Drosophila melanogaster: one gene and its partners. The protein of the gene in region 1 interacts with the protein of each later gene in a pairwise test. Each region holds a gene or a part of one and is shown in the gene's direction. Other genes may lie near its edges.

Evidence for each region.
Region 2: the proteins of CG5674 (region 1) and CG34210 interact in a two-hybrid assay, tested with the Drosophila melanogaster proteins (one large-scale study listed by BioGRID).
Region 3: the proteins of CG5674 (region 1) and Clp interact in a two-hybrid assay, tested with the Drosophila melanogaster proteins (one large-scale study listed by BioGRID).
Region 4: the proteins of CG5674 (region 1) and opa interact in a two-hybrid assay, tested with the Drosophila melanogaster proteins (one large-scale study listed by BioGRID).

Annotation. Positions count from the first base shown.
Region 1 is NT_033779.5:17,956,763-17,966,378, forward strand, and holds the start of CG5674 (uncharacterized protein), read left to right. Parts: upstream 1-6,616; 5' UTR 6,617-6,783; coding exon 6,784-6,843; intron 6,844-7,381; coding exon of another isoform or gene 7,382-7,687; intron 7,688-7,746; coding exon of another isoform or gene 7,747-9,125; intron 9,126-9,186; coding exon of another isoform or gene 9,187-9,616. Other genes in the region: btv (beethoven), read right to left, coding at 5,973-6,254, 7,382-7,687, 7,747-9,125, 9,187-9,616.
Region 2 is NT_033778.4:23,347,618-23,354,906, forward strand, and holds CG34210 (uncharacterized protein), read left to right. Parts: upstream 1-3,900; 5' UTR 3,901-4,005; coding exon 4,006-4,025; intron 4,026-4,087; coding exon 4,088-4,352; 3' UTR 4,353-4,527; downstream 4,528-7,289.
Region 3 is NT_033779.5:818,246-823,873, forward strand, and holds Clp (clipper), read left to right. Parts: upstream 1-1,718; 5' UTR 1,719-1,833; coding exon 1,834-2,724; 3' UTR 2,725-2,964; downstream 2,965-5,628. Other genes in the region: PGAP2 (Post-GPI attachment to proteins 2), read right to left, coding at 262-398, 459-1,089; CG3662 (uncharacterized protein), read left to right, coding at 3,307-3,414, 4,613-5,324, 5,392-5,531. UniProt on the Drosophila melanogaster protein: Component of the cleavage and polyadenylation specificity factor (CPSF) complex that plays a key role in pre-mRNA 3'-end formation, recognizing the AAUAAA signal sequence and interacting with poly(A) polymerase and other factors to bring about cleavage and poly(A) addition.
Region 4 is NT_033777.3:4,849,308-4,858,563, forward strand, and holds the start of opa (odd paired), read left to right. Parts: upstream 1-3,505; 5' UTR 3,506-3,798; coding exon 3,799-4,747; intron 4,748-9,256. UniProt on the Drosophila melanogaster protein: Transcription factor essential for parasegmental subdivision of the embryo. It is involved in the activation of wingless (wg) in odd parasegments.

The DNA of each region.
Region 1 (9,616 bases):
GCCCCTGAGGAATCGGGCAACAGTTTGTAAAAGTTTTCAATAAGCTTCTGGTATATCGAAGCAGTTTGTGGATGCGCAGCGGAAATGCATAAACATTTATAAGAATTTCCTTTGAAAGCATGTTAAACATAATTTCGTGCCGAAGGACAGGATGGCAGAGGCTTTCATGGGAAATGTGACAAGAGAAATCAATTGAAGTTACTTGTAAATGAATTTCGTCTCGAAATTTTCAAGTTGTGCGGAACAAGTTTGCTTAATTTGTGTAATGAAGAAATCCCAGAGAAGTTTGCTATCAGCTTCGGAGAAATGTAAAATGAAACTTTGAGAATAAAATTTGCTTAGAAGAATATTTACAAGTTAACAGGCAAAAAGTATTGTTTTAAACAGTAATTATAAGGTTCAGTTGATTTGATAAAGAATATTTTAAAAAAGGTACATACAAAACAATGCCTATCGATTAACATATATATGTATATATATAAACTTTTTTTTTGCTTTAAACTTGGCTCATTTATAATTTATAATTCACAGTTTTTCCTTTTTTACCAGCTTAAAATGTGTTTGGATAATTCCAAGCCATTTAAAGTTAATTCGTTTGCATTTATCCAACCATTAAGTGGGCACCAAAAACAAATGCAAACGAATCGTCATCCCAGGAGGATTTCCCTTACCTAGTGTCTCCATAACTCAATGGGAACCTATTGGATCACAGCAAATTAACATGCATATATCTGGCCAATGCGATGCGATGCGACTCGATCTGATGTGATGGAGGAGCTCGTGCAGAGCCCACAAGGACACATGTCGCCCCATGGAGAGCCCCAGCCTGCCAGTCCTGTGAATCAGAACAGGACTCTTGTGCCGTTTGGCATACGAAATAAGCACAAACAAATTCGATAACAAATGGTTTGGAATCAAGACAACAACAATGCAGGGGCTATATACCATATATTTATACAGCAGGAGGTGGGCAAAGAGCGAAGGACGCTGGTGAGTTTAGGAACAAATGACATATTGTCGGGTGCAGAAAAATCCTGGAGAATGGGAGACAACATATGGTTAGCCTGATGTGACTTTCAGTTCGTTTTTGTTTGTGTTTAACGTAAATATAAAATTTATTATCCAGCGAAGCGCATAAATTAGCCAAACAAGAAATCAGAAGCAGACGCAAATTGAGACCAAAACCCACACATCCCCACTGAGCTCGACTTGATGATGATAACAAATGAAATCAAATAGGTGGAATGTGGGATATGGAAGCCATATGAAGGGGACCAACGGATCCCAAAGCAAACATCATTAATTGTGGAGAGTTCACAATTTGGATTAATGAACTATCAAATGCGGTTCTCAATTTACGATGCGCTGAAACTGTCTTTGTGGAGTATATATGAGTGGCTTTTAGTCAGTATACATATCGAATAAAACGCATTGTTTAAACAACTTTAAATGTTTTTCTTTCCGCATGGGAAAATTCAGTTAATAATTTTGTCCACAAAAAGGTACCATTCAACCTATAGTGCAGTGCTGTTTTAATAAAAATTAAATCATTTTTCTAAAATAGTCCTTTTAATTTAATGTTAACGTTTACACGTTTATACATTTACATAATACGCACTATTGATACCCTGTACTTTATTGATACCCTGTACTGGAACATCCCTCAAGAACATGGTGAAATGAAAGCAGCAAAGCCATCTTTTTCGAGAGTGCACTCTAGCTCCACCTACCGGCAGTCTAAAAGTTAAGGAAGTAAGATTCCCACCCACATTAATATTGATTATCTTTAGTTGTTTAAAACTCCCTTAGTAAATATCAAATTTCGCATCGAAATAAGCCCTCTGGGCCATTGATATCATTAGATTCACACTTAATCATGAGCAGGCTAATTAGATGTCTTGCGTTTGGCGCATACAAGTGTTAATTTTCCCAAAACAAAGCACACGCTCGCAGTCGGTTAATTAACACATTTTCGCAGATTTCACAGTTTTCGCAGCCTTTCCCGGAACACTTTGTTCTTAGCAGGACAGCAAAAAGGGGCAAAGCAGCATGCAAAACCTGGGGGCAACGTGGCTTTTGATGTGTTCCGACCATAACTTTGCGGCCCAAAGTCGCTGCCAAGGCTAAGGACCTCCCTGTATGCAAAGTCCCTTGAAAAAAAGTAGCTGCAAATTCCCAGCAAAATCCATGGCAACATGACCAGCAGGCAGCGGTAACGAAAAGTTTTTGGACAAACCGGGCCGAAAACTTTCAAGATTCACAACTGCAACACTTGAAGTGTGTTGAAAGTGCACGCACACTCGCCTAATCCCGCTCACAGATACTCCACACACACAAACACCCATTGCGCACATCCTGCATATCCTGCCTGTTTACCAAATGAGTTTTGTGCTAGTTTGTTTAATGCCTGGGGCCGCAAAATTTATGACGACATGCGGAAGGGGTACCAGCAAGGGGATGGAGTCCTATCTATCCGGAGAGTTTCTTGGTGTAATGGACAGATAACTGTTGCCTAATTGTTCTGACATTCATACGCAGTGAGGGTGGCAGTCATAAAAGTTTCATTCCATTAAATTCGTTCTCGATTCATGTAGTTTTGTTTTAACTCTGAAGGTTTGGGGCTACTCAATGCAGCTTGATCAATTGGAAAACTAATTAGAATTTGACCTCAGGGGCAGCAAAAAATTATAGTTTGGTTAAAAGTGTAAAATGAGGTTTAACATATTAAACTTTATATGTATATATATATATATATATGTAAATCCTAATATAACACGATTGTTCTGCGCAAGCAATAATTCTGCAAACTTAATGATTGCGTAATTTATTCCGGTATTTTTAGATTAATTTCGGATTTCCGAAACGTTAAATCAATTAATTAATTAATTCAATTAAATTTTGACTGTCATTGGCAGCTCCGCATGTCCTAGTTTATTGAGCTTTATTTTTTGGAACTCCAACACCCATGAAAGGCGGTGCACCTGTTGCCTGGACTACGGTGACACCGAGTTCCAGCACACGTGGGACATAAATTCCATTTCATTTAGCTCTTAATTCAATTTTATTTGTCACATTCTGCTCGCGCCATCCACCGTGGATTTAAGGGGGTTCGTTCGGGGCGACGCAATTATCGAATGCACCACGTAAATTAACCCAGAAACGTTTCCATGCATAAAATGCCAAAAATTTAACTAAAATTATGCACATTTGTTCGGCAGAGGGAGGAGGAAGAGGAGGGGAGCATAAAGAGACCAAAAGCAACGGCCTTTTGAATAGGACTTCCCAACTCCCCGGCTGGAATGCATAAAACGCTGATTGCAGCGTGTTTCACCCGCGTTTTACCCTTTTTATTCCAGCGAACGTGACTGAATTTACACGCAAATAAATACAAAACTATGGTAAGAGCAGCTACTGCAACAAGAAAAACGGCTCCATAGTTAAGCAAAAGACAAAAAAAAATCGGCAAAGAAGTGCAAGTGCCCGAATACAAATATGAAATGCGGCTGCCGAAACAAAAATGCTATTTATTTGCCAACCCAATGCTAAAAACGAAAAAAAAAAAAATTTCTATCACGTTCAAAATGTGCAAAAAGAGAGAGCGACAGCAGCGTCCGCCAGGTGGCGCTAGTCAGCGAGCGGCAAAACGGAACCGGAAATGCCGCCGCTGACAGCGAAGCCTGTTTAAAAACGAAGGAAAGTCACAGCTGCCATCGCGTTATCTGCATTTTGTTGACTCTACATCCTTTCACCGCTGCCCTCTCGCCTTTATCTCCGCATTATGCATGAAATATTCTCTATCTTTCGTTTTTCCTCTGGCCTGTAGCAAAGGTGAGATAAATCGGGATTACCCTCAAATAGAGAGGAGTGAATGTATCAAAAGGCAGGGAAGACAGAAGACGCTAAAGCTTTTCTTATTGAAATAAAAAAAGGGGGGAACTTTGCCATAGAGCACTAAACTTTATTGTCAAATTCCATTGAAACTTCAAAGTGTACATAACATTTTAATAATATTACTTTTGCACGCCTTTATATTGCGAAACTAAAAAACTAAAAGAAAAGTGAGAGAAACAGCTTAGACTTTATTTTATCTGTGAAAGAGGTACAACCAAATAAAATCTGGACACATGCAAAATGTACCAAAACCAACAGATTTATCAATACATGTATTCAAAAATAGCATACTACTTCTTATAATTTCCATTTCTGTCTCATTGACCAGTTTTGTTTCCAAATAGTCATAAAATCAAGTAAGCTCCTCAAAGGAGCACCCAATAAATGGAGTAAGTGGTATTCAAGTGAATGGTAAAGGGGAATTGCCATTTAAATGGCATCCCGGGTCCGGAAGAGGAGCCAAAGTCAAAGAAGACTCACTGACAAAGGGCAAAGCCCAGCTGCAAAGTCAAAAGTGCGGCATGAGTGCAAACTGATTAATCACATTTGGTGGGCTTACATTTATGGCAGATGTGGGGACATATTCGTGTGTATGTACCAGGAAATGGGCGGCAAACACATGCAGATGTCACATTAGCCTTATACTTTAATTAATTTCTAATCCCAGCTCATTGAAGGCGGCTGCAATTAGATGGCGACGCCGTTGCTTGTAGGCTGGCAAGGATTACAAGGATGTGGCCGCTTGGCCCCGACATTTGTCAAACACTAAACACTGAAGAAGCCAAAGGAGGATATCAATTTGTGCATTTGAGTGTAAAGTACGGATTCGCCTGCCCATCAACTGCAAATTAGACATTCAAAATTTAATCGGCAATGCAAGTTTTTGGGGATTTTGGGGCGGGCACATAATTAAGCTGCAACTTTGTGGGGATTATTCAATGCGAATTGGAATCAACCAAAACCACAAGCTTTTAACATTAAATGCGATGAACTATTTGGTTAAGTTGGTAATCCAGCATTGCGGCGGGTGAAATAGTTTAAGGGCCTCATTAATGTGGTTGCGGCTTGGGAATATTTTGGAAATTGATCTTTATGTAGCCTAAATGCATAAGAAGGAGGTCTTTAAACTGTTCTTCCTTGTAGCTAATTGGATTTGAAGTTCGGAGCGGAGTTTATGTATCTTTTGATATACACATTCACTTTATATCCTTACTCAATTACCTTTTCAGCCTTATCGCGCTGCCTAATTCCTTAATCCGCAACTAAATTTCCATTTGAAGCGTAATAAATTATTTATTCTCAATAGCCGACAGCACAACAAGTTGGGAAAGGCGTACAACAAAATCTGAGAAGTCTGCATAGCTAAATTTGCAAAATGTGTTAACAAACTGCCACGCCCACCGATACGAGGCACTGTGATTTGTGCGGAGGGCAATTTATATGCCACAGAAGCCGGCTGCCACGCCCCCTTCTCGGTACCGGGAGGCACTTTACACTCAAATTGTGTTAATTTGCATATTGGAAACTTTTGCCTAATTGAACATAATGCCACTTAATTAAAGTTAAGACAAGTTTTTGACGGTAAAATGGTTTTGGGCCTGGGGGATGTCGGGGATGTCTTGGCAACTAAAAGTATGCCCGACATTTATGGCAGTTTGTTGTTGAAATTTACGGCAATTAGTTTAATATGAGCAGATTATGAGGGACACAGGACGCAATAAAATCCCTTCGGCGGTGGCAAATTAATTTTTAGGGGCATCCCCGAATAAACACAGACACTGAGACATATGGAAATCAATTAGCTCTTCAGAGTCTAAGTCCTCGCCTTAAATGTTTAATGGCCCATTTTTATGTTTGCCTTTGGCTGCCTAATTGTTAGTTGTTTAAATATTTACTTAGAATTAGTTGGGACCCAAATGACAGCGTGTCAAGGGTAGGAAACTAATGTTAAAAGAGTTTCGTTTGGTTTTTATTTAATATTTGCGAAGGTGAATTGCTATTCAAGTGTCAGTCCAACACATTCTTCGCTTCTCTACATATATATTTGAAATATATTGGTATAAAATAATATTGAGTGGTGTTTAATAATCTTCGACTATTAGCGCTGTTCCGGCCAAGAGAATTTGTTCCGCAGTTCCGGTCACAATATCAACATTTAGGTGGCAAATCAATTTGTCGCGACTGCTCCGAGAATATAATGGGAGTTTGGGCTTCGATTCAGCATTTTGCGTGGAATATAGCGAATTTTTGCCGTATTTTGAGGAACTAGTAGTCGTATGACTGACATTTTGTACTTCGTCTTTTATTTTGTACTTGATGTAGAAGGGGTTCGATTTTCCCATTCCACTCTGGGCGCCATCAATCTGTAATGGAAAATGAATAGTGCCAAGTTTAGTTACTAATGAAATACTTAGATATATTCCACATTACATATATTCACAATTGCTAAAAACAAAAAAAAAGGCGAAAAGCGGGTAGATGATTTGCAAAGTTTATTCTCCAAGTCCTAAAATGTATATACAAAAAAATAGTTATTTGTTTTTTTACAGTGTTAGTTCTAGCAGGTACACCCATCAGGGCATAGCGGATGCACTCCCCATAGTCAGCTTCCAAACCGATTATCGATTGGCATCGAATACGTAGATATACAAACGAGAAGGGAAAGTAAAATGTAAGTTTGTGCTCAGAACTGCTTATCGATAGGCATCGGACAAGGTGCCATCTCTAATTCCCCCTCTTGTACCGGAATGTCAATCAAATGAAAACAAAAAAAGCGGCGTGAGAAAACTGAAAAGAACGGGCATCCAGTGCACATTTCAAGCTTAATTTCGATGCATTGAACGGCGGCGGCGCACCGAAAACAGGAGGCGCAGGATTACGGATACGGAAGCTATGGAAACGGCCAGAATGGAGACGGCGATGGAGACACATTTTATGGCCAAAATGGGGAAGGTGAGGAACAAAGACAAGAAGCAAACGGGCAAGAGGGAGAGAAGATGTCATCAGTCTTCGTCCCAAAAGATAAATAAGTATCTTTTGGGATTTTGGATTGGGGGAATCAATTTGGACTATGGATGTATGCATATCTACTATCCAGGTAATCCGTAACAGAGTATTGTTACTGTTACTACTACTACGTGTGCATCCAATTGTATCTGATATAGCAACCTGGCAAAATGTATCCCAAAATTATTTCTCAATGTTTATTGTATTTACTGTAACGCTTCTCGAGGGCTTATGATATTTAATGGTTATCCCCAACTTAACCAATGCGCCATCTACCGCGAATATTATAGTTATGGCAATTTCTTGGCTGATTATCCTGCGATTAGTTAAATTTCCTTTTATGGCTTCGAAATATATTCTTAGTCGCTAAAGAAGAAGACATAGAAGACATAACCCCTTGAATCATGAGTAAGTGGCTTGCTGAATTTGATTTCACAACTTGATGTCAAAACATTATCGGTTAAAGATACTAATTCTTACTCACCTTTAGCGGCGCCAGCTTGAGTATTATGTCCGAAGAATCACTTTCCAAGTTTGAGGAGCCGCAAGTTTGCAACTCCAGGCGTTCGGTGGAAACTGCCAGTTTTCGAGACTGCAGCAGCTTTAAACAGGACAACAGGTTCTCACAGTTAAACACCTGGACGAAATTGATATCCTCTACAAAATCCAGATGCATTTGCTCCCGGAATCGAAGTTCGGCAGCCTGGGCTCGAACGATTAGGGCTCTTAAAAAGTCCACGGCACTGTTGCTGCCAGGTCCAGGCCATAGTTTAAGCCAACTGGCAGGAATCTATGAATTTCAGTTTATTATGCATTTTCAAGTTACGTTACTGTACCCCAGTTTCTTACCTGCTGTTCTGCCAGAGTTCTCAGAGTGCTGCCATCCACCTCCTGCGACTCCTTAAGCCAGGCATGCATCTGCGACAAAGTCTGGTGAACTATGCCGTAGAGATCCGCCCCTAGTTTCAGTTCAGCCAGCACAAAAAGTGCCCAGGGAGATTCACCCACATCAGTTTTTGCCTCCTTCATAGTCTGGATTATGGTACACGAAGCCGCCAACTTTCTCCATAGATTCAGTAGGGGTTTAATTTGCTGTTCCAGCTTCTGACGACCAGTGAGCTGATCGTTTCCCTTAGACTCTCCTGCTCCTCCAGAATCCTTAGCCAAGCCTCTTCCGTAATGCAATCCCCTGAGTTCCTTTATCACTCTTTTGGCCTGTTCAATTTCGCGTTGCTGTTGTGCCTGATTGGCCAAACCATACATACTGGGCTCATCTGTGTCAGGAAGTTTCTCCAATGCAGCGTAGTAGTCCTGCAGTTGACCGCTAGTTGGTATGGATAGAGATAATCCAAGAGGTGACCAACGATTGCTTAAGACGTCCGCTGAACAAAACTGGTTCAGATAGGTTGTGAGTATCTCCAGATCCCTCTGATTATTTACTCTTCCGCCATAAGCGAGGGCTTCACTGAGACGTTGCATCAGCAACCAATCGCATTTTCCTGAATTAAGTTGCTGATCCATCATTCTTAGGATACCCAGAGCCGCTTTTAGATCTGCCTCACCGAATTCATAGTATTTTGACCAACCTTGTGGTATAAACTGTCGCCTTTGTTGAAGCACAGCTGTTAGGACAAAATAAACCAGTCTCATCTTGAGGCTCTTTGGTTGGTTTTTAAGCTTTTGATCCTGTTCAGCAGCGAAGTTCTGGAGCAAACGCATCACAATCTGCTTTAGTCCCTTAGGCTGCTCATAACGTACTTTAAGGCATTTATAAATGGCAGCTTCGGAAAATCCCTCGGTTGATTCGCACAATAGCCACAATCGAAAGTCTTTCGATTTTTGAATTTCACTTAATTCCCTTTCCATTTGAGTTAGAAATTCCGGCACCAAATGGACATTCTTAACGCATAACCAGTGGCCATCTATGGCAGCCTGACGCATTTCGGAGAGAACTCTTTTCTCAACACCTTTTCCAATAGCCATTTCTCTATACTTTTGATTGGCCCACTTTCTCAATTCAGTTGTTGGATCATTTTCCGCATGACTAACCATCAAAATCGGGCGATCACAGCTGCTCTGCTGCAGCAACTGCTCCACAGAAGGTTGGGTGGAGGCATCTGGGGAAATTCCCAGCAGATCGCTACTCACTTTTCGCAGTTGGTGAAGCATCAAGTCGGGTCGGAAAATCTGAGCAATAAGCACACGCTGGAAGCTGGACCCCAACGCAGCTGTAAGTTCGAAAATAAATCTGAATAAGATGAAATTAACTAAATTATTTCTACAACTTACGTAGCACATCATCCGCTTGAGCCTCAATGAATCCGCGCCAGATATAGTCCTTCTCCAACTGGAGCTTGCTTCGCAAATCTGGGAACAATTGGAGTAACATAGCCAGCTTTAATTGCGCTTCCTTGGGCATGCAGTCGGGCAGTTTTCCAAGCTGACTTAGCACCATACTGCCATCAGAACTACCCATGAAATTGTTCACAAACAGCTCCCACTCCTTGGGGTTTAATCTATCGGGATATGCCTGATGACAAACCCACAAGGATAAGGATAGCTGGCTATCTCTAGAAGTAGCTCTAGCTAAATTCATATAAACACTTCGTACAAGACAATCATAGACCTTGGACTCATCTCGTTGACTTTTGGAAAGAGCCCCCAAAAATAGTTCAATGTAAACAAGAGGGGATAATTCATAGCCCTGGATGAGGCCTGC
Region 2 (7,289 bases), on another chromosome or scaffold:
ACTCCGCTTCGATGTGAACTGATCCGCTGGGAGGGTTACCTGGTATATTTATGGCTTGGACAGGTGTGTCGAGAGGCTTACCAACACTGTGATTTTCAAATTGCTGTGAGTTTTTCAATAAATGTTTGTCAGTTTGTCTTACCGTAAATGGAAGATACAAGGAGGTCTTCAATTAGTAGCTAAGGAGTAAAGGTCTTACATCTTACTGAACATAAATATATACTATTTAAATTATTCGGTAATTAAAACTGCAAGAGCACGCTGCCTTTTAGTTAAAGCCGCGAAGTAAGTGTAATTTGTCAGGCTGCGGGCTTTTAGACCCTGTACGCGCATTTACACTCCAGATGGGGTAAGAGTTAACTATTAACTACTCGCAGCCAGAGTCCAAGGATGCCCCAGCTCCACCAACCTCTTCCGCAGGGGTGGCGAGTGGGGCTGGGAAATCACGGCGTGTCGCTTTCGAATGGAACATAAAAAATTGAGGGCTTAATTAAAAAGCAAAAATGTGCTGCGATTTTCCGCTTTTTTAACGCCAACAGCAGCAACTTCGGCCCGTATTTATATCCGTACCCCAACCCGTGGCCCAAAAAAAAAAAACCCAGGGAAAATGCGAATGCGAATGGGAAAAACAACACATTTTCCAGGGCCAGAGAGCGAAGGGAAGGGAGGAGTAAAAACTACTTGCCGACGACTTTTTATGTGGCCCATGTTCCTTGGAGGCGAAGGAAGCACTGCCAGCAGTTCCATTTGAAATTTTCCGGGCCTCATGTGTCTTTTTATTTCGCCTTCCCCCCCCCCCCTGGGCTCCTACAAATTAAGCTTTCCCTCGCTTTGTTGCCTCTTTTTTGGCCAGACCAGGCCAAGACCATGACTTTTGTTGTTAATTAAAGTGACGGCTAAAAACATGAAACTCTCAAGTGCTCATTAAAATTGAAATGCGACTGCAGGAACAAACCAAATGTGTGCCAAATAATGACGTTTGGCTCTTAATGCCACTCCATGTTCTCTTCGCAAACAGGATAGTTGCGTTCCCTCTGCTGAATGCAGGAATATTAAAGGGCTCAAATGGAAATTTAATAGGTAATCGTATGGTGTGGGTTTTGAGCTCTTTAAATTAGGTAATCTTGATTAATAACACCACGAGTATATACTAACCTATATAGTAGTACAAGTGGCATTCATATCCAGCTCTTCGGGTGCTGCAAATTCCGCCGCACTCCTTCACAAATCATTTGTTTGGCCAAGTCCAGTTCCAGGAGACCAGGAGTCCACATAAACCAGCGGCAATCCCCTCCCGAAATCAGGGCGATTGCAGAGCTTTAAAGTGCTCCTTGGCAGGCCACATAAATAAATGTTTGCACATTTACTTTGCCGGGCTGCCCTCCTCCTGAGTCCTTCTGCTCCTGCAGGATTGCGGGTGTTGTGTTCGCTCGCTTCGTTGCTCCCAGCACGTTCATAACTCAACTCCTGCTCCTGCTCCTGCTCCTGCACCAGCTCCAGCCACTGCTCCCTCGCCAAGGATGCGATTGTGCGAGGATGTGCCGGAGGTGTTGCTTTCCAGACGCTTTATTTACTTGCAATTCGATGCTGGCAATCTCGATAGTTTCAATCCGAGGCTACGCCCCGCATTGTTTTCCGGCGCTCCGCTAGCGATGATTCTCCGGAGAGAGATTGCCATAACTTTGTATAGTGTAATGGCAATGCAATTGGATGAATTTGGCAGCAGGACGAACTGCACCCATCACGGGCATCGAGGCCAGTTAGTGGGAGCTCAAATTGCAAGACAAAGCAGCGAGCCCAAGTCAATTTGGCCAAGTCTCACAGGCGGTCAAGGTGGCGCAGTGATGCAGTGATGCAGTGGGCCCACTGAATCCAATGCAATCGCTGCAATCACGTACCCAATGGGCATATTACTAGCTGACTGCGATGTGAATGGATTAGGTTGACCTGGCCGTGGCAGTGTTCACTAACTGCAATCTAATTCTGATCTGGGGGTGTCACATTTATCGGCATGCTTTTCTAAAAGGGTATCCATCGCACGGAGGGGTAACAAGCTTTTCTCAAACACTTGAACATCCTCAAATGTAATTTTCTCGTTTATTAAATAATATTAATACATATAGATCTTTTGCCGCTTTGACATACTAGGTAACTAGAAGTGGGAAACAATGAATTTCATTTGCAGCTCCTTCAACATTGTCCTCCAAACTCCTCTGCTTACTTACTTATTTCGAGTGAATCTCAGGGTGCTTGGAGCGTTGATCTGGCTATAGGGTCGTAAGCTGGGCCGACAATGGCCGGTGCGAGATGAGGTCGGGCTCCATTTTCAGGGCAGTTAGCACAATGTCACGTAGCAAATGCGACAGCGTGGTCAACATAATGAACGGGGCGGCCACCCGCTCCTCCTGACCCCGGCCACGCCCCCCGCCCATCTGCTCCTTTGGGATAAAGAGTGCAGCATGTTGCAGGTTGCAGACGGCGAGTACTTCGCGCAGAACCAGTGCTGTCCGGTTGACTATTTTTCTTGGGCTTTGCCATTCCGGAATTACAAAAAAAAGAATATTTTCTTAAAAGTACAGAGTTTTGTCTTCTAAGAGGTGAGAAATACATCATATTTTTTTTAGCCTACATGAGTCACCACCACTTTTTACCTGAGAGCGCCTCTGGCCAGGACTTTGGTGGCTTCCAATCGTGTCTGGTGTCCACTGATTGCTCTGGCGGCGATTGCAATAACCTTTGCCCATGTCGACCATGTCACGACAACTCCGCTCGGTTTTCGGGCCAAAGGAACCCTCAGACAGTTGGCTCCGAAAAATGTGTCGATGCACGTGACATTCGGATGCAATTTGCAATTTGATTTTGTTCCCTGGAGAGGCAGTAGACGGGCGGAGGAGGTGCCCATCGCCAGCAGGTCGCAAGTTGCAGGTTGCAGATTCAGATTCGGCTTGTTGCCTAAGTTCAAGGATCAAATTGATTCCCCTTTCGGCAGCAGCAGGTGTGAGATGCGAGATGTGAGATGTGAGCTGCGTCTTTGCATTGTTACACTTGACCAATTCGGATTGCAATTACACACCTGACTGTTTACCGCCCCGCCACCACCATCACCACCACCAGTATCGCCCCAATTTTGAACCTGACTTTATGTCTGGTGAGGAAGAAGGCGCTGCTGGACTGTAGTTATTCTTGGGGGCCAGCTGTGGGGCTGGCTAAAATGGCCGAGCAACGATTTGTGTGGGTTTTGGCTTGTTTTGCAATCCGCTTTCTTTGTTGGCGCCATCATCCCCACCACACCACTACTTAGTCTATAGTTTACGCGCTCCACAATTTGGGGGAATTGTTTGTGGGACAAGTGGGGGGGGGGGGGAGTCCGTCGAGTAGGTGAAAGACAGGCAATAAGAAGACAGCCGAATGGACACTGGCTTAATTGAAGTCCTCTTTATGACAGTGGCTTTGTATCAGTACTATTCAATTCCTCTATTGCAATCTATCGATTTGAAGACACTTCCAAAGTGTTTTTTAAAGTATGCAACCACTTGTGTTCAGATAGCCTCCAGCATACTTTCAGGCAGCGGAACATTCAGGGGAGGCTGTATTAAGTTAAAGGGCCAGCATCAATTAATGCCCACTTAAGCCCAAAGCACCTAGTCAGCAATCCAGACTGCAAGTTTACTTACATTTGCACTCAGGTCCGGGTGTTAATGGCGCCCTTGTTATCGGATGTGGATATTCCGTTCGCCCCGGATGCACAACATCTCCTCCCGCGTTCGCCCTCTCCAGGTCGCCTGATTGACCTTCTATGAGTGGCAAATGGTGTTGGGTGTCAGTCAGGCGAAGCACTCCGCCCAATTTCCACCTCCGTCCGGCCAATCCGTGCGCTTCGACTAGGTGGCAAACTAATTGGGGAATCGAACCTGGCCCGGAGAAGACTGTCGGCCGGGTTACATTAGTGTTTCAATCACCTCACATTAGACACGCTGCTTTGTCTACTACCAAGTCGAGCGCAAGATGAAGAAGTCCGGGGACTTGTGAGCCCAAGCCAGTAGGATTAGCACTTCGATCGCCTAACACCCTTTTCCTTTCGCCCTAGTCTCTCCCTGCTCAACAATCGCGACCTGCTGAAGACTCCGTCCGGCAACTCCATTGTGAACTTCCTGGTGAAACCGATGAGCGTGGAAATGAACACGGCGGACAATCTGATCACGGGTGCCAGGCGCCAGCGAATGATGGAGCTCTTCCAGGAGGACCGCGCCTGGGAGGCCGCCGAGTTGTCCCGCTTCGGACTGAGCTGCATCAAGGCCCCGGACTGCTATCCCTGCTGCACTCCTTTCGAGTGCTCCAAGGCCAAGTTCTAGGACTAATTGATACGTCTTTTATTGTATGTGTGTGAGAATCAAATCCATACGTAAATCAACCTTTAAATTTCATCCTCACAATAGAGGATTCGCATAGAAAGCTGGCCATACATATTTGATAGCCAACATTTTCCCGATTCTCTAGAAGATTAGAAAACAGACCGTAATTTCGTTTAAATTTATTTATTTTATTTGTCGTAGGGAGCACCTTTCGCCTGCTCCTGCGGTCAACTGTCGGCCGCGTAATAAATTGATTCGGTGGCCATTAATCTATTTTCCGGAGCGGGCGGAGGGCCACGCCCCCAGCTTGATGCGCTACTCATTGTTTAGAGAATGGCAGGCAAATTTCGGCGCCTTTGTTCCCAGATAAAACCCTTTTGGGCGGATCGTGTTTTTTCGGGGGCCATGCCCGCTTTTTTTTGTCCTGCGGCGAACAAAACACAACTGATTATGGCGGCAGGACACTTGGCCGGATTAATTGAAAGCCGAGAGGCGAAATCCGAAAGCCTAAAGGCCGGCTTTTTTTGCCCACTTCAGTTGGGCTTCATTTTGCGCTGGGGGATTGGGTGTTGAGAATTGAGAATCCTCCATCATCATTTGTCATTGTCAGCTAACGGAGTGTGATGGCCGCCCCATTTGGCCATAGATGAGATAAGAGGCTGTGCTCGGGCTCAGCCCGGTTTCGCTCAGTGCACTCGGCTGCACTTCCCGCCTGACTTTTGAGCGTTTGAGCGTGATTTTCTTTTCCGTGTGCACTCAGCGATGCGCTAATCAAATTATAAATCGTGCCCATTGGAAAGTCGTTCGATGGCATCGGTGGCCCCCAGGAGGCGACATTGTCACCATCAGCCCGGGCAATCATAACTCGCACAAAGGGAAGGCCATCCTGTATTTTTCTACGCCTTCCCCACCATTTCCACTTTTCCCACTGCATCTGCGACACTTTTTCAGCGCCCATTAGAGCTGCTGTGGCGCCACCATAATGGATGCCGGAGCAAGTGCAGCCGGGTCGGTCCGTTTGCACTCCTTGGACCTTTTTGTGTTTGAGCTCTCCACCCGCTGGGAATAATGAAAATGTCTGCGATTGGTCGGGCAGGCGGCTAAATAATAGAATCGATTAGGTCTTTGAAACTGGGGAACCGTACATCACTTTTAACTTTCAAACACTTCTTAAAGTAATAGATACTTACATTACTGCTACTCTAGATTCTCATACTGAGATAATACACAAAGTATAGGGTATCCCTAGTGCCAGACAGATAAAAAGGGCGCAGGAACATGCATATTTATGTACATCCATATATGTATGTACATACATATGTACGTATGTTTTTTAATTCATGTACAATGTTTTTCCACGGGTAATCGTGAAGGGCGGCCAGGTGGGGTGCATTGCACATGGATCGCATCAAACAATGCCCATTTCTTTAATTAACAATTTGCATTTGCCGTGTTTCCAACAATTTTTTGCCGACCCCCCTTCCGTCCTGTTTTAATTGGTGTTTACTTTGGGCGGCTCTTGTGCCACGCCCACTTGCAATAATACCGCTGGATGCAATGGTATGGTATGGTAATCACCACCTGGGCTGAGCTACCACATTGCTGCATTCCTGCATTCCGGCATCCCGCATTCCGGCTGCCTTTGAGCGGCATCTTTTTACTAATGACTCGAAATCCCATCCAATCATGCAAACTGCTTGGGACTTTGTTTGCGGATTCACCCCTCCGGTCGGAGATAGTAATTTATTTCTTAAAAAGTGAAATCCATTAACACAAATTCCTTGGCCCACTATCTTTGTACCCCCTCCCCCAACCAAACAGCCAACCATCCTCCCTCTCCCACCTGCTTCAAACCATATCTTTATGTCTTGGTCAGACCATTCACGTGGCTCTTATGTTCCGGTTTTCCAGCTTTTCCGCTGCTGCCTGGCCAGAGGAAAATTGCAATCACCTTTGTGATTGTGTTCTGCTTTTCAGCTCCATCGCTCGGCATTCAACAGTTTTCGCTTTGTGCACTAAAAGTATTAAATTTCTTCAAATATTCTCGGTACACGTGTTTGTATGTACATACATACATGTATGTATGTACGTACATATGTACATAAGTACCTACATATCTACATACCGAGCAAAAGTCACTTTTGAAACGTATGTATGTGTATGTATGTATGTTTTCTGTGCGTTTGTTGTTTAGATGGTCAAAGATTTGGTTAGAAAGACACATTTTCATGGCATTCGGTTAGTGGTATTACTTATTTAATTATTTACGAAAATCGTTCATAAAATCAATTCAAATGGCAGATAATACCAGATTTCCCAAAAGAAGCTTATTAATACTGAGTGCAGGATTTTCTGTCAGGGTTTTGCACATCAAATAACACAACTGTACATAGCTTCTATCGAACTTGTCAGGTTGAGGAATTTTTTTGATGTGACATAGGCGACAAATCCAAAGTTTATTCAAAAGGCAGTAATTATAAGCATTTGCAGCTGGCGAGGCATTTTGTCGGGTAAGGCGATCCTCCTTAAGAAGTGCTGATTCAGTCAAATCCACTATTTCAACCGACGCTGCAAACATTCTGACCATTAAGACCAGGGCGCGGGAACTTCACCGAGGAAATGCGCTTAGTACGACGCAATCCAGAAGCGCATGCAGAATGCACAGCAGGTTCTCCAGCTGGTCATCTCGGACAGCTGTACTGGCGCTGCGATCCCGCCATGAACAAGCATGTGGAGGGCCTATGACCTATGGCCATGTCGCTTGTCTGCTGCAGGTCTTTGTGGAGAACGAAATCAACCTGAGTCCCGACCAGAGCTGCATGAACTGCTGCGGAGGCTGCCATGACACCCGCTCGAGCGGTTGTTACAAGGCGGAGGAGGAGTTCTGTGGCCAGCAGGCCGCTTGCAAGGGAAGGCTCTACAAATGCAACACCATCG
Region 3 (5,628 bases), about 17 Mb from region 1:
ACATAATGATGGAACTCGGTTCGAATTTAACTAGATCCTTTAGGTGTAAAATCGTGTTAGAGCCTAAAGCTAAAAGCGTGTGTATGCATCAGATCCTGTCATACTGAATCGTCTCCTCTCGGAATCCCTCGTAAGCAATTTCCTTTTGGTAAAATTAAGTAAACATTGAGCTTAAGCTAATACCGCGTATGTACACAATACTCGAGGACGACTGGCTGGCTGAAATGGCGGCGCAGGCTGGGTTTGATCTAGTTCATTGGTCTACGATTGTGATAGGTAGAGACCGTGCTTGGCATCACACACCACATTCAGGGCGTAGAAGTCCCAGTAGGAGGTCATGTGGAACCCCATGTTGGTCAGCACCACGATGTACTCGAACAACGCGAAGAAAGTATAGACTGTGGATAGAAAAGATTCATTATAAGACAATAGTGGACTCACAACCGATTCCCACTCACCTCCCGCCTCGCAATGCGAGTTGTGCCTCACGAAGCAGTATCCTGCCAAGCCAAAGGCGATCACATTCACCAAGAACAGATTTCTCTTGTACCTCAGCGACTTCTCCTCGTGCGGCAAGAGCACGGTCTTCTGTATATTCCTGTTCAGCAGGTAGGAAACCAGCATATAGCACTCGGAACACGCAATGAACACCACAAATGCGTTTCTGTGGGTCTCGTAATGATCCGCAGAGGTCCAAAACGACAAGCAGAAGAGGGCCAGATCCTCCACGACGTTCAAGAAGCAGGCCAGGATGCCCAGCAATCTTCTGCTCCGGCGGATGTGTTCCCGATAGTGCTCCAAGTAGATTTTGGCAACTGCCAAACGGAGTGGTAAATGCAGAAATATGGCCAGTCTCCAGACGGTTTTTTGGGGCTCATAGTTCCCAATGGCCGCCGAGACGGAGGGCAGATAGTTGGTCACATCGCAGTGGGTGTAGGTGCTCCTAACGAAGTCAAAGGTCAGAGACCAAATCACGCAGAAGAAGAAGCCTCCCAGGGGCAAACTAAGAGCCACCAGTGCCAGTCGCGCAAAGGGAAGCCGGAAGAGGACGCTTTTGGGATCACTGAAGCGCTCGTAAGTAGGCAGCATTTGACCTTTGGAGTGGGTGGACTACGTGGGGTGTTGGTCGGGTTGGGTTCTTCAGCGGCGCTCGCTCCTCATTTTTCAGTTCCTCGCTCCCAAATTAACTAATGGCTTTTCACGCAGATTGCTTACGTTATAAACATTGCGAAAAGTTGTAAACAAGTGATCGATACCAGCTGACTATCGGCCTCTGGCGGCGGGGGTGGTTCATTATCGAATTTACTCAGTGTTTAATGTTTAAATTTCGAAGCAATTCAAGTGTTGCTCTTGTGTAAGTGAAATTTTTGAAACTGGCTCGTTCATTGTAGATAAGCCCTTTTATCAGCAACACTAACGGGGCGGATACTTAATTTCTATGTAATACTTTAGTCGCCAACAGTGCTGACCAATATCAACTTACTTTTGTAGCTAAATAGCTAAAATGTTATTAATGGCGGTTTAGTTAAATAAGGTCATAAAAACAAGTATTTTCTTACTATGACTAATCTTATAAATTAAAAACATTTGGAGACTAAAAATATTTATATACAAATATCTATTCCCTGAAGTGGACAGATTTGGCTAATAAACAGCTAGACGGCCATGACTGTCTTGCCTTGCGAACTATCGATATCGATAACGCCGGTTGCGTGTCAGCACTATTCGCACTGAAACAACAAACACGCGCAAAAAAAGAAGAAGGAAACTGCATTGTTTACCAGATTTCGGAGTTTTTCCTCATCTATCCGAGCATCCGCGAATCCGTCAGAGATGGACATCCTTTTGGCCAACGTAAGTGGGCTGCAGTTCAAGGCGGAGCGGGACCTCATCGAGCAGGTGGGTGCCATCCCGCTGCCGTTCTACGGCATGGACAAGTCCATTGCGGCGGTCTGCAACTTCATCACCAGGAACGGACAGGAGTGCGACAAAGGGAGCGCCTGTCCCTTCCGACACATTCGCGGGGACCGGACGATCGTGTGCAAGCACTGGCTGAGAGGACTGTGCAAGAAGGGCGACCAGTGCGAGTTCCTGCACGAGTACGACATGACCAAGATGCCCGAGTGCTACTTCTACTCGAGGTTCAACGCCTGCCACAACAAAGAGTGTCCCTTTTTGCACATCGACCCGCAGAGCAAGGTGAAGGATTGTCCGTGGTACAAGAGAGGCTTCTGCCGCCACGGTCCCCACTGCCGGCACCAGCATCTGCGCCGTGTCCTGTGCATGGACTACCTAGCCGGCTTCTGCCCCGAGGGCCCGTCCTGCAAGCACATGCATCCGCACTTCGAGCTGCCCCCGCTGGCGGAACTGGGTAAGGATCAGCTGCACAAGAAACTGCCCACGTGCCACTATTGCGGCGAGCTGGGCCACAAGGCCAACTCGTGCAAGCAGTATGTGGGCAGCCTGGAGCATCGCAACAATATCAACGCAATGGATCACTCCGGCGGACACTCGGGCGGCTACTCTGGACACTCCGGCCACATCGAGGGTGCCGATGACATGCAATCCAATCACCACAGTCAGCCGCATGGTCCCGGCTTCGTCAAGGTGCCCACGCCCCTGGAGGAGATCACCTGCTACAAGTGCGGGAACAAGGGCCACTACGCGAACAAGTGTCCCAAGGGTCACCTCGCCTTCCTCTCTAACCAACATAGTCATAAGTAGGACGCTCTGCTCTGTATGATTAGACTGTAAGAGTGCAGAAATAAAGGTCGAAAGCGGTCTGCATAGTCCGCTGTGTAGTCCAGAGGTCGTAGGTTCCCAACTTCCGCAGGCGAACGTTTCAATCATTCTGTGTTTAAAGTGTATGTTAAGAAACTCATTTGCATTTTTGAAAAAAGTCCCTAGAACTGCCAGTAGAACGTATTGTGTTATCAGCGAAATAAACTTCCATAAGATACAAGTAAGCAATTCGTTTTGGAAGGGAGTTTAGTTGTATGTTTTGGGTTTTCTCCAAAAATATAAATGTATCATGTTTTTTCGTTTGTAAGATAACAATTTGTGCCTCACAATTTTTTTTCGGATTCAAGTTTCGAATTTTTGGGCGGCGAATCGTCTTTTCCAAGTTTGCAACCACTCTAGAGTTGCCTCACTTTTGTCCACATCTTTTGAAAGGCGAATTAGAACTGGTCACACTGGCTTGTCTGGATCGAGATTTCAGCTCGTCAACAATTGCGCACTAAATTTTCAGTAAAAACAAACAAGTTGGTCGTGCGGAGGCATCAAGAACACAGCATACGAGCAGCCATGACAATTCTGGGAAAACTGCGGGGACAGCCCACGGACCAGGAGAAGGTGCCCCTGCCCATGAACCTCAACGACGAGGCGCTCATGCACCATGGCTCCCTAATCGCAGTGAGTTTTGCTTGGCATCGCATCTGCGGGATGTGTCCTTATTTTTGCGCAATCGTGCTATGTCCTTGTCCATCCCTCGCGCCCTGCCCGCCACCGTGTCCTTCGTCCTGCGGCCCGAGAGCCACAAGTCTCGTGATGGGTGGGTGGTTGGTGCTGATTCCGATTCGGAATCCATTCCGAATTACAGCCTCAGCAGCAGCAGCTCGCCATCGATTTTTCCCCGACCAAGCTCCGCACTCCTTGGTGTCCTTGTGGCCCGTGCTTCCCCTTACCCCCCTGCCCGCATGCAACCCCTGCTCCACTCCAAGTGACGTGTGCCCATTCACTTTCCTGGGCTTTCCGCGCCAAGGACTCGCTCGCTCGCTCCCCGAGGTCAGCGCGAAGGGTTTTCCTGTTGCTGGTGGAGATTGGCCCTGACGGCTGGGGAAAGCCACTTACGGTGCCAGTTGCAGCCCTTTGTGAGCTGCTGACACTGTGCACTTTGACCTCGATTCGTGTGCACGGGTATCCAGAGAAAGTCGTGTCTTATCAGCTTGCTGGTCATAAGCACAATCATTCCCAGCTGCCAGCTCCCATCTCCCATCTCCCAGCATATTTGCCCATCTGCAGTTTATTTATTTAGTGTAGATATCACTAATTTTCCAGAGATTTATATACAATCATACATTTACATATGAGTTATGCACTACATAGTCGAATAAGGTCCACTCTAGTGCATGCAAATGCCTTCAATTGATTAATTTTTTGCAAGGGGATCTCTTCTGACCCCTCCTTAGACTAATCTCTCGCTAACGACGTATCTTTCGAAACAATTTTGACTTAGCAATGCAATTGCATTGTTTATAGAACAAGAGAAGGCATTGCAGTGAAAAATTATCTTGCTGAGCTGGCGGAAAATATAAATGTGTGATTAATATTCAGCAAGCTCAAACCTTTCGACTTGTGGAACTTCCACTATCAACATTACAGTCAACTGCCTTCTATTTGTATTTTTCTACGACTTATCGTCGTTTTTATGACTTTCCACTGGAACAATGGGTGATAAGGAAACAGATATAACAAGTCGGTCATTTTAGATAACTTTAGATTGTATATAAAACTGCTACTTTTCCATTGCAATTTGTTGTTCCTACAAAATTGCAAGTGACACTTAGAGGAGTATCCCATATTTTTAAAACCCCCCATTTTCCACACACAGCCCAAGGTTGCTTACAGCGATAATGAAGCCGACGCGGAATCCATGGTCTTCAACCGGCCGCAGCACCATTGCATCAAATCCTTTCTGCTGTTCCTGATCGCCGTAGTCGTGATGCTCCTGGGTGTCCTGGGCGGATGGACCCTGTACCGAGTGTACGCTCCGTCGCATAGCAGCATGCGCTACCACGCCCTGTGCGAGATCCCCTATCCGGAGGACTCGATGGAGATGGCGCGGGTATATCCGCGCACCGTGGAACCGTTCGCCCTGAACTGGCGCTCCTTGCTACCCGAGCTCGCGCAACCGATGCCCAACAGTGGATCGCTGGACGAGAGCCACTTCCGCGAGGACATCGAACTGGACGGTGACAGCGATGACGAGGGCTACGCACGCGTGGACGTGCCCGACTTCAAGGATGGACGTCGTGGTCGCTTCATGCACGACTTCAAGGAGAACCAGTCGGCCATTATCGACACTACCACCGGACGGTGCTTCATCATGCCCTTGGATCGGGACACGACCCTGCCCCCGACCAGCTTTGTGGATCTCATAAAGAAGATGAGCACTGGCTACTACAACATAGATACGGAGCGCGTGCGGCGCCAGATGCGTGTGGTCATGCCCCGCATCACCGATGTCTCGCTCATCTCGGAGCGGATTGCCAACGAGTGCTTCGATATGAAGGTCTACATGATGGAGAAGTTCGTCTCAGGCGGTGAGTAGCAATGTCTTACAGGTGCCAGCAACTTACTGATCCATTCCCATTCCTCGACCCATTACAGTCTCGAAGAGATCGGCTGATCCGCTGCCGGAGTCAGCCAAGTACGCCGAGTTCATGGGCAAGGGCGTCATCGAGTACGACCTGGCCAACATCGCCGAGGTGGAGGCCTACGAGGCCAACGAGGCTAGGCAACAGGCCTGAGCTTTGGAGGAGGAGGAGGATCTTTTAAGCTACAACACCCATATGATAACACAACCTAAACAAATTATTACTTAGAATCGATTTATACATACACAGA
Region 4 (9,256 bases), on another chromosome or scaffold:
CAACTGATCATAAATTTTGTTCAAGGTCTCCTGGTTTCCGATCGCCTTTGTTTTTTGCTCTTCAATGGAAAACGCATTGCGGAAAAAGGATGTGAGCCAGTATGGCCAGGATTGCCAGGACGGCCCTCACCTTGGTGTTTATGGCATGTAAATATTTATGGTTGACATGACCTTGTCAGTCCGTGTCCTACGGTCAGCACTTCTCTCGTCACGCACTTTTTTATGATTCGTCCGAAGCAAAATTGCCGTGTCCGCTCTCCGGCAAAATATTTATGGGCATATAATTTTCCACGATTTTCATTTTCCCTCTATCTGGAGAATCTCGAAGCGATGTGTGGGCTAGATGTGCTGCCTTGTTCCGGTGTCTTCATGGCATGGTCGTAAAAAAATTGACTTTCCTAAGCTGTCTCGATTCCCTAATCCTTGTACTACCTCCTAGGCATCGCCAGTTTATCACGCCCCGGGATTAAGCATTCTGATTCAGATGTCCTCGCCTTTTTCGAGATTCGCGAATTGCCTTTTAGGATTTGGCCAGGGCCTTCTTACCTGTCTGCTTTATTGGTTGTGCAACGGGAAGTGGGTGGTTAAGGTTTCGGGTGGAGCGAGCTCACCACGTGCTGAAATGAAAAGGAGGCCCATGTAGATCGTTCATAGTTTTGGAAACTCTTTCCAAATATTAACCTCGCATTCAATGGCGTACTCTTTCAATTTGATATTATTGTGGTGTGTAATGGTAACAGGCATTTCTTGCAATTTACTATTGAACTTTGTGGCAACGTCTTTATGCTTTCATTGCACAAAAGAGTGCTAGATTTATTTTCTACGCAATTAACAAGAGTATATACTTCATACAGTACCAAACAATTCATGTGCTCGCTTAAATATTTATCTGAACATTTTCCATCTTTACTTCCATTTGTTGAAGCACATTAATCGGCATAGAAGCAATGAAAGGAAATCGCGAGGAAACCAGTTGGACAGGAAACTCCCACGCTCCCACATCACTCCGTTGACACCCCTCCCTGCCTTTTCGCACCATGGCCATTCACTCTGTGGGCTCGGCACGGAACTCTCCATCCCGCACTGGAACTGGAATCTTGAGTCTCGGCTCTGGAATCCCGGGTCTCATGCGAACCCCTGGCAAAAGACCAGTACAGTGCTCACCGCTGTGATCGCGGCATGTGCCAAAGGCGTCCACGCCAGGTTACGGTTTTATTTTGATTTCGGCTCTGACTCTGATGAGTCCGTGCCCATGCCACGCGGCCATGTCCCCAGGTTGTCCCCGACGCCCACCGGTTGGTTGCCCACTTGGTTGTGGCCAAACTGATTAAGCACAGCTGAGGGTTCAGTCCGCTGCTTTTAGGGGTGAAATCGACACCAAAATATGAATACGTCTACTAACACGACGGATTGCAAATAATCAGGGCTTAAAAGAACTCGACTATAAAACATATGGTTGGCTATGATGGAGGAAGATAATTAAAAAATCGCAAAAGCTACAAGATTTTTGATGTTACTTGGATCTTCAGAGCTTCTATTGAACTTGGAATGATTGACTGGGTCGTTAAATTCGTTTTCTGCATTGGAAAGTGGATATTCGGTCTAGTCCAAAATGGACCTCTTGAATCACAGACAACAACAGAAGCTGCAACCTGCTGGGCCAACTTGCATTTTGTTTATCTGGGCATTTTAAATTTATAATTTCTTGTTTGCTAGCGCCTGAGATTGTTTCCCCCGCTCCTTTTTTGTTATTAAGAGTTTATTGCATTTTGCGCTTCCATTTTCAAGTGGCTCGTACGGCATTATTTATGGGAGTAGTTCTATGGCAGTGCGCTAGAAATCCACTTCAGCCGACTGCTCCGTTTGCAGCCCATCATCTGCTCCAACCCGGCGGCTTCGTCCTCATCCTCCATCATCGATATGGAGCAATGGCTTCATTTCGAGTGACACTTGTCGCTGGAGCTCTGCGGGACTGGGTGCCTGCCAGCTCGGTGCACTTTCCGCTGCTTTATGGTCTTGCCCGTCTCCCAAAATGGCATTGGGGTCGGTATGACATTCGGACGACTATGGACTGTCGATTGCCGTCCGCTGATTGCTGATTGCCGCTGAGTTGTTTTGACAATTTAATAGCCGAACCGCTTGGCGGTGACGCTTTATGTCACAATTTGCCCCAATTAATTCATTGCGGAAATCAAGGTAATTAGCATGGAATCACATGGTCTTTTCTTGCTCTCATTCTCATTTAAACTTTACCAGGAAATATTGTTTTCTCAAACGATAAATTCAGGGCAATATATTTGATTAGAAAATACTGTTTTTGAATAAAAATTTGATTACTCAATATATATCCAAATTCAATTTGATTTTAATTATTATCGTTTTAAAAGCTTAAGCAATTTTTAATACTCTGCCAGCAATTACATATCAACCTTAAATTATCTACAGATGAGGACTAGTTCAAAACACGAATACTAAACGAAGACAATTTTGATGTTAACGACCTTCCTTTTGCATCGCTCAGTTTTTGGATTGTAAATAGAAAAAATCATATATTTTGAGAAGAGCGTCTGACTATATACATACAGCATAGTGTTATACCATATTATCACAAAGCAAATGTTTTGTATGAAAATAAATTTATACATTTTTGCCCTATGCAGGCGAAGTATCACTTCACAGTCTGCCCCAAAAGCCACTTTGCCGGGGCACTTAACACTCAGCAGAATCCAATCAAGTCGATTGATACAAGATTATGTATTGATTCGACTACTGCTTATTGAAAATTCCATAAATTAGCAAATGAAAAACAGAGCGTTTGGCGCTAATGAAATCTCGTACGTCTTTATGGCGCAACCTAAACAAAACGGCTGGAAATCTCCGATGTCCGAGCACGGAATGTGCTTAATATCATTAAAATCAATAAAATAAACAACTAATTTGATAAGCTGACAGCTGGGCTACCCGAAGTGGCGGGCTATTCGTCCGCCGTGACAATGAGGAGCGGGCTGGAAAATGCATCCCCGCGAGCTTTCAATTGGCTGCCCGTCGGTCCAATCAGCATTTGGGCCCCCTGCACAGGCGCACGCCGCACGCTGTCGGCCCACCACCCAATGGCCAACCGCAGTGGGTGTTAATTTTCGCGAAACCAGTTTGCCGAGCGAGAGGGCGCTATGGTCGGGTGGGTTCCAATTGGACTGAGTGCGCAGCCTCTGTGCTCTTCTGTCCGACTCTGGAGCATGCGAGGAGGCGGCCATTTTCTTAGAGTTGTCGCACTCGCACCCATGGCTCAGGCCTATCCGACAGAGTGGTGGCTTGTGCCGAATACACCATGGCAAGCGCAACTCACCACAGGCAGGTCATACGCCTGGCCTGCTCGCACTCGCGCTTTCGTTACCCTCTATTCATTTTACGTCGTGCATAGGTCGATCCCATTCGCACGCATGCGATCGTCGGCAGATATTTTCACGAGGCAACACAGCAGCGAGTTAGAATTTCAGGAGCATTTCAGTCCTGCTGCGCATCTTGAAACGTCAAGTCTTGGCATTCGGTTAGCGTCAAGTCTTGCTGCGATTCGAACGCCCCAGAAACGCATCGCGCGCGAGTGCATTACGTAAATAAGTATCAAGTCGCATGCGAAATATCTAAGAGCGAAATAAGCGCACAGTATATACAGCTAAGTGAGGTGACCTCAGTGCGTGATGGGCTCATTGGCCTAGCAAAGTGCGAATCGAAAACTTGTAGTTCAGTTCTTTCTGAATTAATTTTAAAAACATATAAGCGAGCAATAACACTGTAACCATGATGATGAACGCCTTCATTGAGCCGGCTCAGCACCACCTGGCCAGCTACGGGCTGCGAATGTCGCCCAACACCACCGCCAGTAACAGCAACGCGCAGCAGCAACAGCAGCAGCAACTGGAGATGACCCAACAGCAGCAGCAACAACAGCAACAACAGCAGCAGCAACAGCAACAGGATCAGGAATCCGCGGCGGCCACTGCTGCAGCCTATCAGAACTCCGGATATGGGCACTTTAACAGCTATGCCTCCCGGGACTTTTTGCTGGGCAGGAGGGAGGCCGAGTACGGTGTGGCAGGATCCGCCGGACAGGCCTCCGCCGCAGCGGATTCCATGCTCTTCTCCGGCTTTCCCGCTCAGGCCGCGGAGCTGGGCTCCGGGTTCGGACAACACCCCTTCCACAGCCACCATCACCACCATCAGATGCGAATGGGCATGGCGGATGCCTACGCCGCCGGCCACCCGTACAACCACCACGGCAACTTCCCGACGGCGGCAGTGCACCACCCGGTCGTGCACCACCCGTCCCACCACGCCATGTCCGCGATGCACCCGGCCGGAGCAGGGGCCTTCCTGCGCTACATGCGCCATCAGCCGGCCTCGTCCGCCTCCAGCGTTAAGCAGGAGATGCAGTGCCTCTGGATAGACCCCGACCAGCCGGGCCTGGTGCCCCCGGGCGGCAGGAAGACCTGCAACAAGGTATTCCACTCGATGCACGAGATCGTCACCCACCTGACCGTGGAGCACGTGGGCGGACCCGAGTGCACCACCCACGCCTGCTTCTGGGTGGGCTGCTCTCGCAACGGACGCCCTTTCAAGGCCAAGTACAAGCTGGTCAACCACATCCGCGTCCACACCGGCGAGAAACCTTTCGCCTGCCCGCACCCGGGTTGCGGCAAGGTCTTCGCCCGGAGCGAGAACCTCAAGATCCACAAGCGGACGCATACAGGTAAGTGTGGCGGTGCATTCCGCTTTATATTTAAACCATATTAAACCATTCATTAAACTAAGAAAATACTTTTATTTAGTTTTGGTTTGGCAGTCAAATTCTGTGTGTAATTATTCCTGTTTTATAAAGATCTTAATACTAATAGAAAGTCGAAGCCTTATGCAGATTTTAACCGCTTATATTTAGAATAGCACATGCTAGGTCTGCAATCTCTTAGAATTCACCTTGCGTGGGCATAACCCTTGCCCGCCTGGGCAAATCCCGGACGTTGTCGATGTGAGCGTGTTACCGACGGCAAAAGTCGTTGCAACGCCCACTACCTGGCTTAACCCGCCACTGGCCGGGCGGGTCATCTTTTATGACACCTGTAAAACCTGCGCCCAAAGCTCTTCCGCGCCCAGAAAATCCCGCAAAGATGTTGTCCTTACGGCTAGGATTACTCTACGGCTTTAGGTTGACTTCGACTTTTGGTCTTAGTATTTCCCTAAGCCTGCGACTTCTCTTGACTTTGGATTTTGACTGGCATGTATTTAACTACGTTTGGAAACTTGGTCAAATTTGTAAAGGAACTGAAAAATTTAGTTTAGCTACTCCTTTGTTTTTTATACTTTAAGCCTTGTTGTCGGCTTCAGATTTTGTATTATTTAATAATAATGGCTTACTATTACTTTGATAGCCAACCGCTCTATGCAAATTCTCAATATAATTAATTTTTCTTAAATCCATCATTAATCATGCCCATTTCAAGCATTTCTCTTTCAATTGTCTTTCAAAAATAAATTAAAATCGCTTTGCAGCTCATAGCCTGAACACTTTTGAAAAAACATAGCCATAGTTGGAGGCTTTAAAATACAATTTATGCGGTATAGTCGTGATCTATGAGAAGTCGAACTATAAAGCCAGAAACGGAGCTTAACGCAAATTAATGACTTTGATTCCAGTGGCTGTTGAACTTGTTCCATTGAAATTTATGGCTGAGCATGTAGGGCTCATTAGAAGCGGCGAAACACAGCCATTAAAATCAATTAACAAGTGGAAGTTGGGAAAGCAAACATGAAATGCGAAAACACAAAACAAAGTTTCGCATAATTGGTGAAAAGAGCGCCAATCAGGTTAATAAACTTTCCAGCAAATATCGCTTGGTCCTGGATTATCCTTGATTGACCTCAGCCTTGGCGTAATTAACTTGGAAATTGGAGGAGAAGAATGAAAATATGGCCAGCAATATTCCGCAATATCCAGCATGCTTATATTTTGTTGTTTTAATGTTGGCTTTTGGCATTTGTTGTTGCCTCTTTATTTCTATTATTTTGTAATTTGGCCTCATGATTCCAAATTGAATTAAAATAAGACGTCGGGCTTCATTATAGCTTCATCTTGTAGTTACCGCGATTATAAACTCACAAAGAAATTCATAAATCACAGAATTAGCCACACAAAAAAGCTATTTCTGTAAATCTGTTCGGACAACAGTATTTTCTTTTGCACACTCATCGAAAGGTAATTAAAATGTTTCGATTTGATTTCGAGACGCCGCCATATTGTGTTCGATTTTGGAACAATCATGTGGCATTATAATGAGTTGGTTGCTGTATGATGATATTTTTGACTAATTTCATATTTCTTTTCTCCGCCGTGATGCAGCAGAAAAGTGCATTTTAGGACCTCTGACTGATTTGTGTGTGCCTATGATTGGTTGACCTGGCTACACATTGTCGGAGATAGCCAACATATTGATTAGCTTTCAAGTGGCCGGCGCACAACTTCATTACGGATCGGGATCGAGCTGGGATCGGTCTGGTATCTGGCTGGGATCGGGGCCTTTAACCTTTCCATACGACTCGGGCACTTGAAGTAGCATCCTCCACACCGCATAAATCAAAAATTCAATCAGCATCGCTGGCTCGGCTAAATGTCCCTTGGCACTGGTGTTTGTTTTTATTGCATTGACACCGCCGACCCAGGGCAAATAAACACACTCGAACACACTGTGTTGACACGTGTCAAAACTTCCGTTTGAAATGGCTCGGAAATGCTTCCGAGGCACTCCGTGCTGGCCCTCTCAAAAAAGCCATCGAAACCGAAATTGGGGTAACACTCGCCGGATTACTGGACGCATTCGCACATTCGCATTCCACTCCTCTAGCTTTATTTTATTTGCGCTGCGATTGTTTCTGTGCTGTTCTGTTTGGGTTACTCGCCATGCTACATTAAGCTTTTGATTTAGATTATGCAAAGGTTATTTACGACCTGGCTTCCACTCCTCGCCGATGGGACGGGTGAGGGGTCCGAGTTTGATAAGTGGGTGAGTAAAACGGAGCAGGGCAGTCAAGTACGTGTTTATGGATCCAGCCGATATAGATCTGCCCAAATGGTGCCACTGTAGCAGCTCGAACTGATCGAAGGGGTCAGTACACCGCGGCAGGAGTTGACTTTAAGATTCGAGTGTGGAACGAGAGTAGGAGATTATAGTTGTGAAATAACTCTCAGTCAAATCCAGTTTTTCGCTATTGCCTCATAAATTGTGTGTTTCTCTCGGCTTAATAATTATGTTTACTTTCTTACATATATCTCTATTATTTAAAACAAAGATTGCATTGCTTCGATTTACCAATAGTTACGATGATCTAAAACAAATTCGATTCAACTGATATATGAGTAATAGTGGGAAGAGTCCTTTCAGAATATAGATCCCAAACTCACACAAACCACCACATGCATATGTCTCTTTTTGTTTCTTTCCCACCGTTCCGTCCGGTCACTGCGTTGTGTTAACTTTTGCACTTGTCCCCGTCACCGTCTGAAATTTTGGCTAGCCTCCTGTCCATCCTGTCCATCCTGTATTCCCCCCCCCCCCCCAGCACCAGACTCCGCCCCTTAAACTCGGCACAAAAAACCCGGCAAACAATCAAGGTTTGTCTGCTCTGTGGCCGTTGTTTTTTGTTGTTTGGGGCTCTGTTGACCGGCCCGAGAGTCTGTGTGTCTGGATAGATGGCGTTTATCACGCTGTGCGGTTTGCACACACATAGCCATCTTTTACACGATTCTTTCCTCTCCACTCCACTCCACTACATTCCGCTCCGCTCCGCCCGGCGGACCACAAACAACTTTATTCATTAACACCTACAACGGCCACAGGATCCGACTGCCACAAGAGCATTCAACAACTTTGTGGTTAGATTTTATTCGTAGCGCCCCATCCGCTCCTTCCAAGCTCATTAAGCTGCTGCGAACCAGCTCCCAGCTGCCCCCTTCAACCTCCCACCACCCAAAGCCCACCACCTCTGGTTTTCCCCGCTATTCCTCGCTTTTCAAGTGCAACCTCTCACTTTCCGCTTCCCCAGGCGCCTTGTTGTTGTGCAATTATGCTGCGGGGCAAAGTTTAGCATTTAACATTGTCCTGGCAGCTGCGACCCTTGTTTGATTAGCTCCCCCTTTTGCCAGGATGCCCCTTTCGGCCCCAACTCGGCTCCATTTAATTGAGTGCAAGTGTTTTTTTAATGAGTCTTTTATGGACTTGTTCAGCTCTGAATGATGAAGTGAATTATGCAATTATTTACACTTTTAGAAAGCTTTGGGGTAACTGAGGTGGGAATGATAGTTCATTCCACACGTAGAAAGTTATACGAGAAGTAGTTACACGTTAGTCAGATTGTCTAATCGGATCTGTAGGAATCAATGTTGTTTTCAGGACCAAAACCCAGATGATTATAGAACTTCAAAATAATTTGCACTGCCCACTTCTCAATGCATTTTTTGCTTGCTCGGCGCCAATTCAATAATTTTTCAAAACACAAAATTCTGAAAACCAAAGCGCTGGCAAATGTCAATGATTGATGACTTTATTGCGGGTTCAATGGTTTTCACAAAAACAGACACCGAACAGCCTCAGATACGGATATAGCTACAGATACATCGAAGCGAGAGACAGAATCACTTTTTATTTTGCGGATAAACTGTGTGTTTGGTTTCTCAGAATTTGACTCTTGCCAGAACAATGGCCAGTAGACGAGGAAGAGTCAGCGGGAGGAGGCGGTGGAAAAAACCTGCGATGTGCTCGAGCTGATTACCTTACCTTCACTACCTGGTCGCATATTCGGGCCAGGATCTCCTGCCTCCTCCCTCCCGCTGGCCGAGCAACTGGCGACTGAAAATCAATTAGCTACGCTCCCTAGGAGCAATTCTCGGGTCTGCTCGCCTAATGACGAATGCATTTCGAGGCCAGAACGGCCAGCGAGGGAAATTCGTCATTTAATTAGCAGCACCCCCGCCGGAGACCCTTGTCGCTATCCCTAACAACTGAAACCGTCTACGAGGACACCATGTTTGCATTCGTTTCGCTCAATTTGAAGTGTCAAATACCACCAAACATGACACACGATCGCAATCGGCTAAAAGTTTGACAAGCTGAAAAGTTCGCTTCTCGCCATTTGGGGATTTATGTACCAGAAGTAAAAGTGTATAAATTTCTGGTGTGGTCCAAGCCTTTGACAGCTGAATGTAAGCAAA